Saccharomyces cerevisiae S288C: one gene and its partners. Changing the gene in region 1 together with any one later gene gives a genetic interaction. Each region holds a gene or a part of one and is shown on either strand. Other genes may lie near its edges. The genes, in order: YNL034W, WRS1 and MTG1.

The links.
Region 2: mutations in YNL034W (region 1) and WRS1 together harm fitness more than expected from each alone (negative genetic interaction), as found in Saccharomyces cerevisiae (one large-scale study listed by BioGRID).
Region 3: mutations in YNL034W (region 1) and MTG1 together harm fitness more than expected from each alone (negative genetic interaction), as found in Saccharomyces cerevisiae (one large-scale study listed by BioGRID).

What each region holds. Positions count from the first base shown.
Region 1 is NC_001146.8:567,352-573,686, forward strand, and holds YNL034W (uncharacterized protein), read left to right. Parts: upstream 1-3,125; coding exon 3,126-4,964; downstream 4,965-6,335. Other genes in the region: YNL035C (uncharacterized protein), read right to left, coding at 1,171-2,340; YNL033W (uncharacterized protein), read left to right, coding at 5,648-6,335.
Region 2 is NC_001147.6:133,959-139,430, reverse strand, and holds WRS1 (tryptophan--tRNA ligase WRS1), read left to right. Parts: upstream 1-1,605; coding exon 1,606-2,904; downstream 2,905-5,472. Other genes in the region: HMI1 (ATP-dependent 3'-5' DNA helicase), read left to right, coding at 1-204; COQ3 (hexaprenyldihydroxybenzoate methyltransferase), read left to right, coding at 386-1,324; YOL097W-A (uncharacterized protein), read right to left, coding at 3,026-3,211; SDD3 (Sdd3p), read left to right, coding at 3,593-5,472.
Region 3 is NC_001145.3:457,579-463,188, reverse strand, and holds MTG1 (putative GTPase MTG1), read left to right. Parts: upstream 1-2,661; coding exon 2,662-3,765; downstream 3,766-5,610. Other genes in the region: ATP25 (Atp25p), read left to right, coding at 580-2,418; pyridoxine biosynthesis protein SNZ1, read right to left, coding at 3,888-4,781; SNO1 (putative pyridoxal 5'-phosphate synthase), read left to right, coding at 5,230-5,610. UniProt on the Saccharomyces cerevisiae protein: Mitochondrial GTPase involved in assembly of the large ribosomal subunit. Plays a role in expression of the mitochondrial translational machinery.

The DNA of each region.
Region 1 (6,335 bases):
TTTGATAATGTGAACACGTCATCATAGATGGTTGTTGGTAATGTGCCCAGTTAGAGGCCATAGCTTTGTTTGGGGTCATCATGCCGTGCTGTTGGTACTGTCCATTCTGTGGAGGTGGTACTGAAGCAGGTTGAGGAGAGACATGATGATGGTTCTCTGGAACAGCTGATGTCCCAGGTGTTGTCTCTTGTTGAGAATTAACCTTAGTGGAATCTCTATCAAATTCCGGTAAATTGGAAGCTGAAACGGCTAACGGATCTTGATTTGATGGGACTTCCTTAGAAGTAACCGAAGCATAGGCGCTACCATGAAGAAAAATGTGGATTTTGATGTAATTGTTGGGATTCCATTTTTTATAAGGCAATAATATTAGGTATGTAGATATACTAGAAGTTCTCCTCGAGGATTTAGGAATCCATAAAAGGGAATCTGCAATTCTATACAATTCTATAAATATTATTATCATCATTTTATATGTTAATATTCATTGATCCTATTACATTATCAATCCTTGCGTTTCAGCTTCCACTAATTTAGATGACTATTTCTCATCATTTGCGTCATCTTCTAACACCGTATATGATAATATACTAGTAACGTAAATACTAGTTAGTAGATGATAGTTGATTTTTATTCCAACACATTCCAATACCACTGATAAGTACATTCTGCATGTCTATTTATAAAACCTTCTTTAAGACAAATATGCTATTTATCCTTTGATAACAATTTCCTGTGAGACAGAAATCACCATAAAATAATCGGGCGTGTGGTCTAGTGGTATGATTCTCGCTTTGGGCGACTTCCTGCCTAAACAGGAAGACAAAGCATGCGAGAGGCCCTGGGTTCAATTCCCAGCTCGCCCCTTTATATTTTTTCACCATCAACGTGGTGTTTCACTTATTCCTTTTCTAGTATTTTTTTTCCACCTTATAGAAGCGTGCACGTTTAATGCTGGAGATAAAAAAAAAAAATGCATTAATACTCTATATAGCAGAAATATAGTTGTTATAACATTGTACCAACAAAAGAAGCCCTATGAAGATAAACTATGATCTAGAAGTATCAACTTGTTTGGAATGTATGCTTCGTTTTTTAAGTTATAGAGTAGTTCTGCCGAAATCTCTTGCAGATGTTAGGCATCTCTTTAGATGTATTGTCTTTATGAAACTAGTATGGTTTGAAACGACTTTTCATGGAATGTTTCTTGGCTTTCTTGTGTTTCTCCTTCCTTGGCCTCGTGGAAACCGATTCTTTTTGAATAATAAGAGGTTCGTCTAAATTAATGGAACCTTCTCTGTCGTCATCTCCTAAGACGTTCATTTTTTTAGAGTAATCCCAAAAATTTTCTGGAATATCTAACGGCCCCTGTTTGTTTTCCCAAATTTTAACGCAACCATCTTCACCACAGGAGTATAACATGTTGCTATGTTGTGCTGGTATAAAAATATCTCTGACGACCTCGTCTCCATGGGCGTGTGGGATAACAATACCGTTTTCAGTATCCACCTTCTCATCTTTAAATGGTAGGAGGCACAACTCTCCACAATTTTCTTGGGTTTTACCGGTTGCAATGAGTCCAGGGTAAATATCTACCACGTAGTCACAGTTCCATATTTCTCTTACATCACCAAAGTCCAAGGGTTGTGGCTCTTTCAATTCGTCAGATTTGTCGTTCAATTCGTGAATTGCAAATGTTTCCATATGTGATAGTGTAAATATCCTCTTTGGGGACAACCATCCACAGGAATGTATTGACGCATAATTAATAACTTGGTGTAAAGCGTCCTCCTCCTCATCTTGTTTCAAGTCATAAATGTTCGTGTAACCATCAGTTGAACCACTGAGCAAAATATTGACGTCAGAAGGATGAAATTTAATACAGGTAACGTCATCATGGTGAGAGTCAATTAATGATCTCAATGGAGTGTCCCATTTGCGAATATCATATATGTATACAGCAGCGTCAATTCCCTGCAATTCGGTACCACAGGCCAATAGACCATGACGAGAATCTAAGGAAATAAAGGGGGAGTTGGCCTCGTTTTGAATTTGAGCAATGCGGTCATTCGTCCTTATATCGAAAACTTTCACCGCGTCGATAGAGGCGCTACTAACTAGATGACCAGCAGAGAAGTCGCTACCGATGACCTTCATATCATTGATTGCAGTTTCGCTCGCCTTAATCTTTTGTACTGATTTACCAGTACTCCAGTCTAGCAAACGTATTTCGCCATTACTTAATCCAGTTAAAAGACCATGTTTATAACTAGGCTGTAACTTAAGACACCAATTTTCTGACCCGAAAGAATTCGATTCAACTAAAGAATAACTAGCCATGCTCTAGAAGTTAATTTGAGATTCTCGAACTTAAGTAGTTTTTATTTACACAGTAAGACGAGCCAGTGCCTATGTCCTAATGACTGCGTACGTGCACTGTAGTCCCATCTAACATTTTTACAATCTGGACTAAGAAAACTTTTATAAATCACATTGCCAATGCAAAAAAAAAGAATGGTCTCTAGCGGGATCGAACCGCTGATCCCCGCGTTATTAGCACGGTGCCTTAACCAACTGGGCCAAGAGACCACTGTTATCTGTTTTCCACCGTCCCTCCACACTACCAAACCAACGTCACTACTGTGTGCCAGCACCACCGCTCATTATCCCTGTGCCACAAAACTCAACTTACACTGTCATTCGAATTTCCGGCAAACTCCGACTGAGAAATGTTCGTACTACTTCCTTTCTAGGGCACATTGAGGAAAAACTCATTGAATGCACCCTTTACAAATCTTAATATCTCTGACGTTTGTATTGTATTAACCAAGCAACCCTCCCTGTGCAAGTAGAAGCCCTGGATCCTTTGTGGTCGTAAAATGAACAAATACCAATAAGACGAAAACAAAAACAAAAACAAAACGACATAGCAACAATGCGGAATTATTTAAGGCTGGCACTCTTTCCGCATGTTTATCACAATTATTTCCACTTTCACTTAAAACCTTGTTTAAGCTTGGCCTACACCACAGGAAAAAAAACCATCCGATCTAATCTTCAAATATCAATTTGAGGTTGAAAAAATTTGCTAAAGCGTTGGTCTAATTTTGTTTTTCGCCCACATAATGTCTACATCTTTCCAGGAGTTCAAGGCCTTTTGCAACAAGGTTGGGCTAGACTTTCAATGGCTTAATTTGCAATCCTCCAAGTCTGTTCCCGAAAGCGGTTCCTCTGAAGGTTTCTCAGCCGTCAGTGATACCGTACAAGAAAACATCAGACCAGCTACGGAACCACTTAACGTCAACCAGTCCAAAGATCCTGTCAGCAACTTTTTTTATGATGTCAAGAATGCTCCGCTCTGGAACGTGTATAAGAGGAATCATTCCGGTCATTCTTCTACTGAGGCTTGCTCTGGAGTAAGTTCAGGGCAAGCGTCAAAAAACATACCCGAGGCAATGGTAAAAGAGACAGTCCTTTCTAATCACGACAATGTCACCATAATAAACGAATTACTGCCAACGTCTTCTGCCATGCACCAGGAAGAAAGCACCGCTATGACAACCTCCTACCTCTTATCCCACTCCGTAAATGATAGTTGCAACGTAATGCTTTCTTCCTCCTCCCACAACCGTGCTATGCTCCCACCTTCTCTTGTGCAAAGAAATAACGCTACCACATCTCCCACAACAGACTCTGCGTCAGAAAACAACGAATCGGTACCCTCACTAACCTCATCTGTTAGCACATCCTCATCAGTTTATTCGTCATGGAATCCTCCTCATTCTCCCCACATATCGTCATTTCCAGACGGCAATTTCGCATCGCTTAACGCAGAAGTGACTTGCTTTGATTTCCGCCGCACCAAGGACTCCAGAACAAAAGAGACGAATGAATCTATCATTCCAACTGAAATTTACTGCCCAATAAATTCCACTGATCACCACAAACATTATCCAAGCCAAAAATCTAAACAAGATGCCTGCGCTCCTGCTCCCCGCAATCAAAATATAAGCTGCAGCGTCGGGTCCGCAGCGGAATTTTCCCAGTCTAACCACACGTTGACTACTGTAGTTCCTTCATACATGCAACAGTACCTTGACAGGCCACAGAACTGGTTTGAAAGCAAAATGGGAAAATACTGTCCACTCTTTCTGAGAAGTACAAAGAACATTGACTACGATTCCCTCGAATTTAAATTTGAGCGCAAGATGATAGCTGTTCAATACCTGCTTTTAGACGAACAATCTGAGCCCAGAAGGTACTACAATCCCTCAAATAAAAGTATTCCATTCTGGAAGAGACCCTTCAACTTCGATACAATGCCCAGCTACGACCAACTTATGGAGGAAGCAGAGTGCCGTTTTTATTCATACCAATACAAATACGAAGGTTTCCAGAGGATTGAGCCCTACTCCATTTTTTGTCCCTGGAAAAACACACAAAGAGAAATAGATCTGGTTCTTGATCACATTCATTTTTCTCTCGATGTCGGCGAGAAGAAGTCTTTAAACCGAAAAGGAAACATCACTCTCGATACTTTAGACAGTAAGGTCGATCCTAACATTCAGATCAAGCCGTATCAGATTTTTCCGTCCAACAACCTAGTATACGAAGGCTTACCGCATCCCGCCGAACAATCCTTAATTTTGAGTCCTGGCACCTCCCTCATTGAGAGGGCGTTTCAGGCACTGATAGACATATGCAAGGAATCTATTCCACCTTCTAATGACTGTACTACCCGCAACCATAATAGCGCTCCTCAGCTTACCGTGCCAGAACCATCTAAACCATGCCGGCTACTACTTGTTCGTGAGTCTCGCACAGCAACAGAACTAGAAACTAACAAAAAGCTCTGGCTCCACTCACAGAGAAGGAATATCGAAGTGACCGTACCAATGCATCCTTCTGAGCATGGGACAAAAAGCCGGTTACGAAAATGGCTCTCAACTTTTGTACATCAGTGAACCGTCAGAAGTTCCGATAGTTCGAACTGTTTGGCACGGCTGACGAAATACTTTTAACGAGCAAGTTAGTCTACACATAACTTCGTACTTACCACCGTTTTCTTCTGGCGCGCCTCTTCAAGTAGACTACCACTTCCCTCTTGTAATAGTTGTTATATATGTTTTCATAGTCTGATTTAAATTTTACGCATATTCATCAATTAACCCAATGCACCAAAAAGGCGGGAAAGAAGCAGTAAAGCAAAGGCCTTTGCCAAGCCTTCTTATCGACAGAAGCAGCCTCAAAAGGTTCCTTCGAGAGCGGCGCGCGTATTTATTCACATCGCGAATCACTGGACCCTTAAAATAAAGGCGCCTATTCACGACATCTGCCACAGAAACAACTGTTCAGTTATCCTAGCAGCAGTTTTTGCACAACGGTATAAACCTGTACAAAACTTTAGCAAGGTTTTTTAACAACAAAAGTGCTTGAGGGACACAACACAAACTATAGAACAGACACTGTTTTCCTGACACTGCTTTCCTGACAAGAGACTCGTTTCTGAATTATTTTTTTTTTCAAGCATCTTTGTTTCGCTGGAACCATTGAGTCTTTTCTTCCATTTTTAATCTTTATTCTGCCTCCTTTCCTAAACACAAGTTGATACAACGAGGCTGTCAATAGCAAGAGCGTGCGCGAGATCATGCTTTACTCCAGAGAATCAAGGACAACCGTCCTTTTCCTTGCGTTGGTTACCTCCCTAACCGTACTTTGTCACTCGGTCGATGTAACAACTGTATTTACTACGTCAACAATCACCGAAATCACAACTGTGACTGCCGCACCGCAACCACAAAACAAAGCGGAAACCGCTTTGAATACTGCTACTAACATAATTCAAACCATGCAGTTTCTTTTCAACTGCGCACCATTTAAGTGGAAGGGTCCTTTGAAAATAACTTCTTGTGCGCTGAACTTTATTGTCCTACTACTCACCGCTTGGGGCTATCTTCTGAAGTATCTGCAGGAAAATAAGCTGAATAGCGATGCTGATATGGAAAAAATGGTAGGACTGGGATTTGGGGAAATGGTCGGCAGAATCTTCGGAAAGGGTGTCGGGAAAGCTTTTACTAAAATGGATATCACTCAGAAACTAGTGTACCCGTTCGAAGGAAGCAACCGGCAGAAATGTCTACTCATGACCGTCGGAGAAAACTCGATAGTGCCATTCCACGATTTGTTTACAGAGATATGCTTTGACCAGTACACTCTGGACTCGCTATCCCACCACAACCATGGGAGTATTTCGATTTTAGATGCTGGATCAGTGAGCGCCTTGGGGTTCGCGGATATTTCATCGAAAATGCCCTCTGTAAGCGAACTATACACAC
Region 2 (5,472 bases), on another chromosome or scaffold:
AAATCATCACCATACTCAAGAAACATAATGTCTAATAATTTATTCTGGACTTACTACAATAAGGATTTGAAACGATCTGTATGTGACGTTAAGGTGACACATGGTTATAATGTGCAGCGATACAATCAGTTACGTAAAAATTTTGGATTTTATAGAGCATATTCTTCACTAAGAGGTTGTAAGAGCGTTTTCAGACGTATATAGAATAGTTTTTTACTTACCTTTCATAATGTATTATCACCCTTTTACATAATACAAGTTTTAGAAGCAGATATTTTTATTTTTTTCATTTCCATTGTTCAAAAAGAGGGATGGTAAAGTATGCTAAAAGGCATACAAAACAATTAAAGGGAAACAGGTACAGCGAAGTCTTATGGGATTCATAATGTTGTTAAGATCTAGATTTTTGAAGGTTATTCATGTGAGGAAACAATTGAGCGCCTGTTCAAGATTTGCAATTCAAACACAAACGAGATGTAAGAGCACAGATGCTTCTGAAGATGAAGTGAAGCATTTCCAGGAGCTAGCCCCTACTTGGTGGGATACAGACGGATCACAAAGAATTCTACACAAAATGAATCTAACTAGGTTAGATTTTGTGCAGAGGACTGTGAGGAACCAGGTTAAAATTCAGAATCCTGAAATATTTGTCCCTGGATTTAATTACAAGGAGTTTCTACCAGAATACGTCTGCGACAATATTCAGCGGGAAATGCAGGAAAGCATAGAGACTAATCTAGATAAGAGGCCAGAAGTGAGCGTCTTGGATGTTGGATGCGGTGGTGGCATTTTGAGTGAATCGCTCGCGAGACTAAAATGGGTGAAGAATGTTCAAGGGATCGATCTGACTCGCGATTGTATCATGGTAGCAAAAGAGCATGCCAAGAAAGACCCCATGCTGGAGGGAAAGATAAATTATGAGTGCAAGGCTCTGGAGGATGTTACTGGACAATTTGATATTATCACCTGTATGGAAATGCTAGAGCACGTGGATATGCCTAGTGAAATTTTAAGGCATTGTTGGTCGAGGTTAAATCCCGAAAAAGGTATACTCTTTTTAAGTACTATAAACAGAGATCTCATCTCATGGTTTACTACAATTTTTATGGGTGAAAACGTCTTGAAGATCGTCCCAAAGGGTACTCATCATTTGAGCAAATACATAAACTCAAAGGAAATCCTTGCCTGGTTCAATGACAACTACAGTGGCCAATTTCGCTTGTTGGATCTCAAGGGGACCATGTACCTCCCATATCAAGGGTGGGTTGAGCACGATTGTTCCGATGTCGGTAATTATTTTATGGCTATTCAGAGACTGAATTGAAATCAAACGAAAAGTAGGTATCTGACTGTAAATATCTTCTTATATAAATATATATATATACACTTTTTCACGTACAGCATGAGTTCAAAAAGCAATGGCATGGTCCTGCGTTTATTAAATGATGTATCCTTTTCAAGACGCCAGTAATTTATTCAATACAGTATCTCTTTTCCGCTTATAATGGAAAAGAGAGAAAAAAGATCAAAACGTTGAAAAATTTTTTTTAGTCATTGAGGTATCAGAAATAAAACTCAATAACAAAAAATAGTCGTAGAACAACGATGAGCAACGACGAAACTGTAGAGAAAGTCACCCAACAAGTGTCGGAACTAAAAAGCACAGATGTTAAAGAGCAAGTAGTTACACCTTGGGATGTGGAAGGTGGGGTTGATGAACAAGGTAGAGCCCAAAATATTGATTACGACAAATTGATCAAACAATTCGGTACTAAGCCGGTCAACGAAGAAACCCTGAAGAGATTCAAGCAAGTGACGGGTCGTGAACCACATCATTTTTTGCGTAAGGGATTGTTTTTCAGTGAGCGTGACTTCACTAAAATATTAGACCTTTACGAACAAGGCAAACCATTTTTCCTATACACTGGTAGAGGTCCTTCGAGCGATTCTATGCACTTGGGTCATATGATCCCTTTTGTCTTCACCAAATGGTTACAGGAAGTGTTTGACGTACCATTAGTCATAGAGTTGACAGATGACGAAAAATTTTTATTCAAACACAAGTTGACCATCAATGACGTTAAGAATTTTGCCCGTGAAAATGCCAAGGATATCATTGCTGTTGGCTTTGATCCAAAGAACACCTTTATCTTTTCTGATTTGCAATACATGGGTGGTGCATTTTACGAAACTGTAGTAAGAGTTTCCAGACAAATTACAGGATCCACTGCAAAGGCTGTTTTCGGGTTTAATGACTCCGACTGTATTGGTAAGTTCCATTTTGCCTCCATTCAAATTGCTACCGCATTCCCAAGCTCATTTCCTAATGTGTTAGGCTTGCCTGATAAGACACCATGTTTGATTCCATGTGCAATTGACCAAGATCCATATTTCAGAGTTTGTAGGGATGTCGCGGATAAATTGAAGTACTCCAAACCTGCTTTGCTTCATTCCAGATTCTTTCCAGCTTTGCAAGGTTCCACGACCAAAATGTCAGCCTCTGATGATACCACTGCCATTTTCATGACCGATACACCAAAGCAAATTCAAAAGAAAATTAACAAGTACGCATTCAGCGGTGGTCAAGTGTCCGCCGACCTACATAGAGAATTAGGTGGTAATCCCGATGTCGATGTTGCATACCAATACTTGTCATTTTTCAAGGATGACGATGTTTTCTTGAAGGAATGCTATGACAAATATAAGTCCGGTGAATTACTATCAGGTGAAATGAAGAAACTGTGTATCGAGACTCTGCAAGAATTCGTTAAGGCGTTCCAGGAACGCAGAGCTCAGGTGGACGAAGAGACCTTGGACAAATTCATGGTCCCACATAAGTTGGTTTGGGGCGAAAAGGAAAGACTTGTCGCACCTAAGCCAAAAACTAAGCAAGAAAAGAAGTAAGTAGTCACGCTTATTCTGACGCTATTATATACAATGATATAGAATCCGAAATTGTAGTTTAACACTAAAAAAATAATGCAATAGAACAATAGTGTTGCGATGTCTCCTGACCTCACTATTTCTATAGATTGGTATGAAAAATTTTTTTTTCAAATATATGGGAAAAATTTTTCACGGCATATAAAAGACTACCATCTTTCTGCATCAGTGTGCCAGACCCATTCTCACACCAAGAAGCGAGGAAGCTAACAGGCCAGTACTTGCAGGTTAGGTTTTCGTGCTCAGATGAGCAGATCATGGACTGCATTGTGCTGTTGTTGCACAGTAAATTTTGTATACCATACTTTATGATGATATTCTTTACGAACTTTTAGACGTTAGACTTCTGAAGGAGATTAGACCCTCCTATGGAAGAGAAACTCGTTAAACTTATCTGAGTAGGTATGTGTATATGCGTCTCTTGTATTATACAAATGTTCTTATTTCTTGTCCTGCATTTTTCCGAGTATTGGTAAATTCATGTAAATTTTTCATCCCATAGATCGTAATTTTGAAGTAGTGGCAAAAGATTTTAACAGAGCGTAAGATATAGTGAGAGAAACTACTCGCTGAAAAGTTGAAAGTGACCCAAAAAACGGCACGAAGACCAATTATACGCACTTTCAACACAGTTCGTCGAATCTTCACAATGGGGTTCAAGAAGCTCGTATCATTCCAACCGGATTATGTCCCACAATACCATATAACTAAATATATCTCGGAACGAACTAAACTGCAACTGGTACATATAAACCACAAAACCTCCCCATTGGTTCACGGTTACTTTGCTGTTCCTACAGAATGTCTTAATGATTCAGGTGCTCCGCATACCTTGGAGCATTTGATCTTCATGGGTTCTAAATCTTACCCATACAAAGGTTTATTAGACACAGCTGGTAATCTGTCTTTGTCTAACACCAATGCTTGGACTGATACCGACCAAACTGTTTATACATTAAGCAGTGCTGGCTGGAAGGGATTCTCAAAGTTGCTACCTGCTTATCTAGATCACATCCTACATCCAACTTTAACAGACGAGGCTTGTTTAACTGAGGTTTATCACATCGACCCGGAAAATTTGGGTGATAAAGGTGTGGTATTTAGTGAAATGGAAGCCATTGAAACTCAGGGCTGGTACATTTCAGGGTTAGAAAAGCAGCGATTAATGTTTCCTGAAGGAAGTGGCTATCGGTCAGAAACTGGTGGGCTAACGAAAAATTTAAGAACCTTAACCAACGACGAAATCAGACAATTTCACAAATCTCTGTATTCTTCTGATAATCTTTGTGTCATTGTTTGTGGTAACGTACCAACAGATGAACTGTTAACCGTCATGGAAGAATGGGATAACAAATTGCCGGAGATTCCATCGAATATACCAAAGAAAAGACCATTTTTGGACAACAAGCTTTCGCACATACCGCAATCTAGAGATAAAGTTACGGAATCTACTGTAGAATTTCCTGAACTTGATGAAAGTCAGGGTGAATTACTCTTTTCTTGGATTGGTGTTCCCTACTCAGATTTTCGTAATGACCTAGCGGTTGATGTGCTATTAGATTACTTTACTGACTCTGCATTGGCAGTGTTTACAAGAGAACTGGTTGAAATTGACGATCCCATGGCAAATTCCACTGATTGTTGCACTGATTATTTCATGAGAACCATAATTGATCTTCGTATCCAAGGTGTCCCAACAGAAAAAATAGCAGCAACAAAGACCAAGGTACTGGAGATTTTGAAAACCCATACCATTGATTTATCAAGAGTTAGACAGGTAGTTGAAAATACTAAATGGGAATATTTGCTGAACTATGAAAAAAATGGCGAGAGTCGTTTTTCTAGTGCTGTGATTACCGACTATATTTATGGTAATGAAGATGGTTCTTCATTAGTGTCTTCTCTCAAGGATTTAAGTGATTTTGATGCTTTATTACAATGGTCCCAAAAGGACTGGCAATCTTTGCTGAACAGAATATTCGTAGACAACAAACCTATCATAGTTACCGCTAAACCAAGCGCTTTGATGTATGAACAACTAGAGAAAGAAAAATCGGATTTGATCAAACAAAGAGAAGCTGAATTTGATGATGAAAAGAAACTGGTTTTATTGAAAAGATTGAACAATGCAAAAAATATTAATGATAGGCCAATTCCGAAATCTCTACTACAGAAATTTGAGATTGATAATCCTTCAAAGAGTGTTGAATTTGTCAACACGAAAAGCATTGCAACTGTCGATTCGTATAAATACAATAATGTTAGTGATCCGCTGACCAAAAAAATTTTAGAAACGAGGCCAGACAATTTTCCTCTTTTCATTCACTTAAATCATTTCCCGTCTCAATTTATAGAGCTGCATTTTTTGGTCAACTCCGCATCTATTAAGGATACCTCGCTTTTACCATATTTTAATATGTTTGACGAGCTATTTTCCATGCCAATGAAAATCCTTGATGAGGAGAGTAATGTAGAAACTATGCTCTCGTTTGAGGAAGTTGTCGCCAAGTTAAAATCAGAAACTATTGA
Region 3 (5,610 bases), on another chromosome or scaffold:
ATTATTATAGCTGTTAAGTATAATTGGATCCTAACAATTCTCATTATTTGTCAAATTCTCATCATCTATATATTAGACGCCGCATATAGGAAACAGCGATCAAACTTTAACGAAGCGAACATACAATATTCCTGATGTAATAATACCAATCAGCGAACTGTACGAAACAAATAGAAGAACGTTATATTATATGGGATTTTACACTTTTTTGGTGGTATCATATATGCTTGAAAAGATCCTGCAGCATTTCTATATACCTGATAATATTGGTTTTATTAGAAATGGGGTCACAATCATCCGAACTATCGTAACTTTAGAAATAATCCGTCTTTCTTAAATAGTACTCTAGTACACAGTAATGGTATTTGTTTTTACTAGTATTTCTTGACATCTTTTTCTAACCTCTCTTCTAATATACTTGCAATCTTCTGATAATTATGCTTTTCATCCCGATAAAGAGAAACAATGAGGACCATTCAGCCAAAAAAAAAAAAAGCAAGTTAAGCTACTAAGAAAGATCGACACCAAGTGAAGATTAAGTGTAATAGCCTGCTTATTCAAAAATTGAGGTTTGTTGACATGAATAAATTCTGTCTACTACCTTTCCATGGCAAGAGGATAGGCGTGGCCAATATTCCTTTTACCATATTATTCAAAAAGGGCCCTTATTTTCTTCATAGTCACATCACAGCAGTTTATTACTCGACAAAGGGCAAAAATGACAGTCATGAACAAAGTCGTGTATCCAAAAAGTCTACTTTTACCCCTCTGGAAACACCTTGGTACCTCAGGATTGTTGACAATGAAAAGGAACTAATGGAAGGTAAGAAAAATAACCACCACACGATGAACAAAGAATTGGAGATACCTAAAACCTCTCCAAACTCATTAAGAAAAATAGCAGACCTCCTAACTGGTAAACTTGGTCTGGATGACTTCCTGGTTTTCGATTTACGGAAGAAAAGCCCAAACTCTGTTTCAGCCGTTAATAAGTTGGGTGACTTCATGGTCATATGTACAGCAAGATCTACCAAACATTGTCATAAAAGTTTCTTAGAGTTGAACAAGTTTTTGAAGCACGAATTCTGTAGTAGTGCATACGTTGAAGGAAACTTTAATGAGCGACAAGAAAGTAGAAGAAAAAGAAGATTAGCAAGAAAATCCAACCTTAGTAAACTATTAGGTAGAAGCTCTGAATGCTCTGCAAAAGACTTAAATAGTGAGGCTTGGTATATGATTGATTGTCGTGTCGATGGTATTTTTGTAAATATTTTGACACAGAGAAGGCGTAATGAATTGAATTTAGAAGAGCTGTATGCACCTGAAAATGAGAAATCTAAGTTCCAAAATATAGATTCAGGTAATGTCCCTACTATTTCAGGGGTAAATGAAATTTCAAGCAACAATAATATTCTTTTAGGCCTAAGAAGACTGGCCCAGCAAAGGAGAAGGTATTCAACTATCAACCCAAACGGGCTAAGTAATTTAAGATACTTTCTACAAAAGGAAGACTTCAAAGGAGCCAATAAGATAATTCAGAGTAGTAGTGGTACTGAAACTCACAATATACGTACTTTGGAGCATGTTAAAAATACTTTAAAGGATTTGGTAGGACAAGAGAGGAAAGTAGATGTTGTTCAATGGAAGTCCTTATTTGACGAACATTCAACTTTTTTAACCATAAATCAATCGGCTGCATATTGGCCACTACGACTAGAATATGCGATACTTCTAAACAAAGCAGACCCACAATTTTATTCAGATCGTGTTTTCCTCAAGGATTATCTACTTTTAAAAAAATCGTTGGGGCAAGAGTTAATAAGGGAAGATCTAATCGCTCTTTTAGAAATGGTTTTGAAAACGCAGCATTCTAGTCATTCATACTTTAACCTAGTAAAGCAAAATAGGGTGATTATCAGAGCTTTGAACCTATTTAAAGGTCTACAAACAGAGGACGATGGCTCAGTTGTTTACGATGAAGTGGTAATATCCCTTCTTTTAAATTCCATGGTCGCGGATGAACGGGTAAAATTGAGATCACTCTACGAGACAATAGACCACATTTTCCAAACATTTGGAGATAAGTTGACTTCAGGCATGATTGTCTCAATATTGCAAAACTTGGCCAAAATCAAAGACTGGAATAAGCTACTTCAAGTCTGGGAAGCTATCACACCAACGGAAGGGGAAGGTCAGGACAAAAGGCCCTGGAATGAATTTATAAATGTTATCAATCAAAGCGGTGATAGTCACGTTATATCGAAAATCGTAAATAATGGTCATTTGCTATGGATCAGACGTTTAAATGTTAACGTAACTCCGGAGTTATGCAACTCCATTAAAGCGTTATTAAAAACCGCTGGAATGGAGAATTCCACATTGGAAGAATTCCTAGTCCGTGGAACAAACAATCAATAGTATTACCTGTATATAATATCTTAATCTCTCGTCGTTCGCCTTATTTATATTTGAATCAAATATTTAATTCTGCCACATGGTAGGTTCATTTTGCCGCAGATCAAAGAACACGGACCATCATGTCAAAAGTACACAATTTTTGTCTTTTCGAAACAATTTGGTTTAGTTATTAGGAGAAGAAAGAACGAATGATAATGCTCATTACTCAGACCTGAATGCAAAAAAGCCAAATCAAATACAGAAATGCACATAAATGTGAGAGGAACTAGGAAAATAATTTCCAACGTTTCATCCTTCACACCAAGATATGAATTTCCAAAGTACAGTATGCCTCTCACTGATTTCAAGGGACACCAAGTCAAAGCTCTTAAAACATTTGAAAAGTTGCTTCCTCAAATGAATATGATAATAGAACTACGTGATATACGTGCCCCGTTATCTACAAGGAATGTGGTTTTCGATCGAATAGCAAGAAAGGAACACGATGTGATGAAATTAGTGGTATACACTAGAAAGGATCTTATGCCCGGCAATAAGCCATATATAGGAAAGTTAAAGAATTGGCATGAAGAGCTGGGAGAAAAGTTTATTTTACTGGATTGCCGAAACAAAACTGACGTCAGGAATCTACTAAAAATACTAGAATGGCAAAATTACGAACTAGAAACAAATGGCGGATATCTACCTATGGGATACCGAGCATTGATTACTGGCATGCCAAATGTTGGAAAATCTACTTTAATAAATAGCTTGAGGACAATTTTTCACAATCAAGTGAATATGGGAAGAAAATTTAAGAAAGTAGCCAAAACTGGTGCAGAAGCTGGTGTTACTAGAGCCACAAGCGAGGTTATTAGAGTAACTTCACGGAATACGGAATCAAGAAATGAAATATACTTGATAGATACTCCAGGAATCGGTGTTCCCGGTCGCGTTTCAGATCATAATAGAATGCTAGGACTGGCGTTGTGTGGTAGTGTTAAAAATAACCTTGTAGATCCAATATTTCAAGCGGATTACCTTTTATACCTAATGAACTTGCAAAATTTGAACGATGGAAGAACAGAGCTTTACCCTGGAAGCACCAATTCTCCCACAAATGATATATATGATGTTTTAAGAAGGCTTCAAGTGAATAAAAGCCAAAATGAAAAATCAACGGCTATCGAGTGGACTAACAAATGGAGGTTGCATGGAAAGGGTATCATATTTGACCCTGAGGTACTGTTGAATAATGACGAGTTTTCTTATAAAAACTATGTAAATGATCAATTGGAAAAGTTAGGAGATCTTTCGTATGAGGGATTGTCTAACAAACTAAAAGGGAACCCCAATCAAGTATTCTAGTAAATAATATCCAGCATACATAAGCTTATCTAATAATTAGATCATTTTACAATGTGTACCGAGTAATACAAAGTTGAGGGGGGAAAAAGTGTTATAATGCTCAAAATACCTGTTCAAAGAAATCACCACCCAATTTCGGAAAGTCTTACTCCATTGGAAGCATGACTAATAGATTCGATTGATACACCACCCATTAACTCTCCTAAGTCACTAGATACTTCCAACAATTTGCTGGGATTGTCAAAGTGAGTGGTAGCCTCTACTACTGCAGTGGCCAACCTTACAGGATTAGATGATTTAAAAATTCCTGAGCCAACAAACACACCATCACAACCCAACTGCATTAACAATGCGGCATCGGCTGGCGTTGCTACACCACCTGCAGCAAAATTTACTACTGGCAACTTACCTTTTTCTAAAACATCTTTCAGCAAAGAAACTGGTACCCTCATTTCCTCAGCAACTTTTGCAATGTCATCTTCGCTCTTCAATTGTTGGCACGCCTTTATCTCCTCTGTAATTCTCCTTATATGCTTGACGGCTTCAGAGACATCGCCCGTTCCAGCTTCACCCTTGGTACGAATCATAGCGGCGCCTTCATTAATTCTTCTCAAAGCTTCACCTAAGTCTTTAGCGCCACAAACAAATGGAACTTTGAATTTGTCCTTTTCAATGTGGTGAGTCCAATCAGCAGGAGTCAAGACTTCACTTTCGTCAATATAGTCAACTTCCAATGCCTCAATAATTTGAGCTTCAACAAAATGGCCAATCCTTACCTTAGCCATGACGGGAATGGAAACGGAGTTCATGATGTCCTTAATCATCTTCGGATCTGACATGCGGCAAACCTTTCCTGACTTACGCATATCTGCTGGGATGGATTCTAATGCCATTACCGCACATGCACCAGATTTTTCAGCTATTTTTGCCTGCTCTGGAGTAACAACATCCATAATAACGCCACCTTTTAACATTTGGGCGAGACCACTCTTGATCTTAAAGTCTTCTCCAGTCATCGTGATAATTAACTGAATATTAGTACTGTGTATATTTGCTAGTCGTTCCTAAAGGTTTCTCCAACAATACCATAGACTTCGTCCATAGCTCTCAGCGTCCTCCTATTTATATCGAAAATGGTACTTCGCAGCCAGAATTACAGACGTAACTAACGGTGCGGCAGAGTGTGTCAGAGTCATGAAGAAATGGCGGCGCTACCTGAAAAGTAGTGAAAAAGCCCGGCTTTCAACCCTTACCCTTGTCGGCTGAGTCATTATGTCATGATGAGCTATTCCAACTAGTGCCATAAATTCCAACTGAGTCAGTAAACGGCATTTATCAGCAATAACTGGTCACGAACTCTTTGAATGTTTTATTCTTTCTTCCAAAAATCACGTTGATGCCACCAGGTTTTTTTTTCTTATTATTTCATTTCGTTAAATAGAAAGAAAAACCATATCTTAAAGTATGCACAAAACCCACAGTACAATGTCCGGAAAGTCGATGAAAGTAATTGGGGTTTTGGCGTTGCAAGGTGCCTTTTTGGAGCATACCAACCATTTAAAAAGGTGTTTGGCTGAAAACGACTACGGAATAAAGATAGAAATCAAAACTGTAAAAACTCCTGAGGATCTAGCCCAGTGCGACGCCTTAATTATTCCCGGAGGAGAATCTACGTCGATGTCCCTCATCGCTCAAAGAACAGGCTTATATCCTTGTTTATACGAATTTGTTCATAATCCGGAAAAGGTAGTTTGGGGTACTTGTGCTGGTCTCATCTTTTTAAGCGCGCAATTAGAAAACGAAAGTGCCCTAGTAAAGACTTTAGGTGTGTTGAAGGTCGACGTG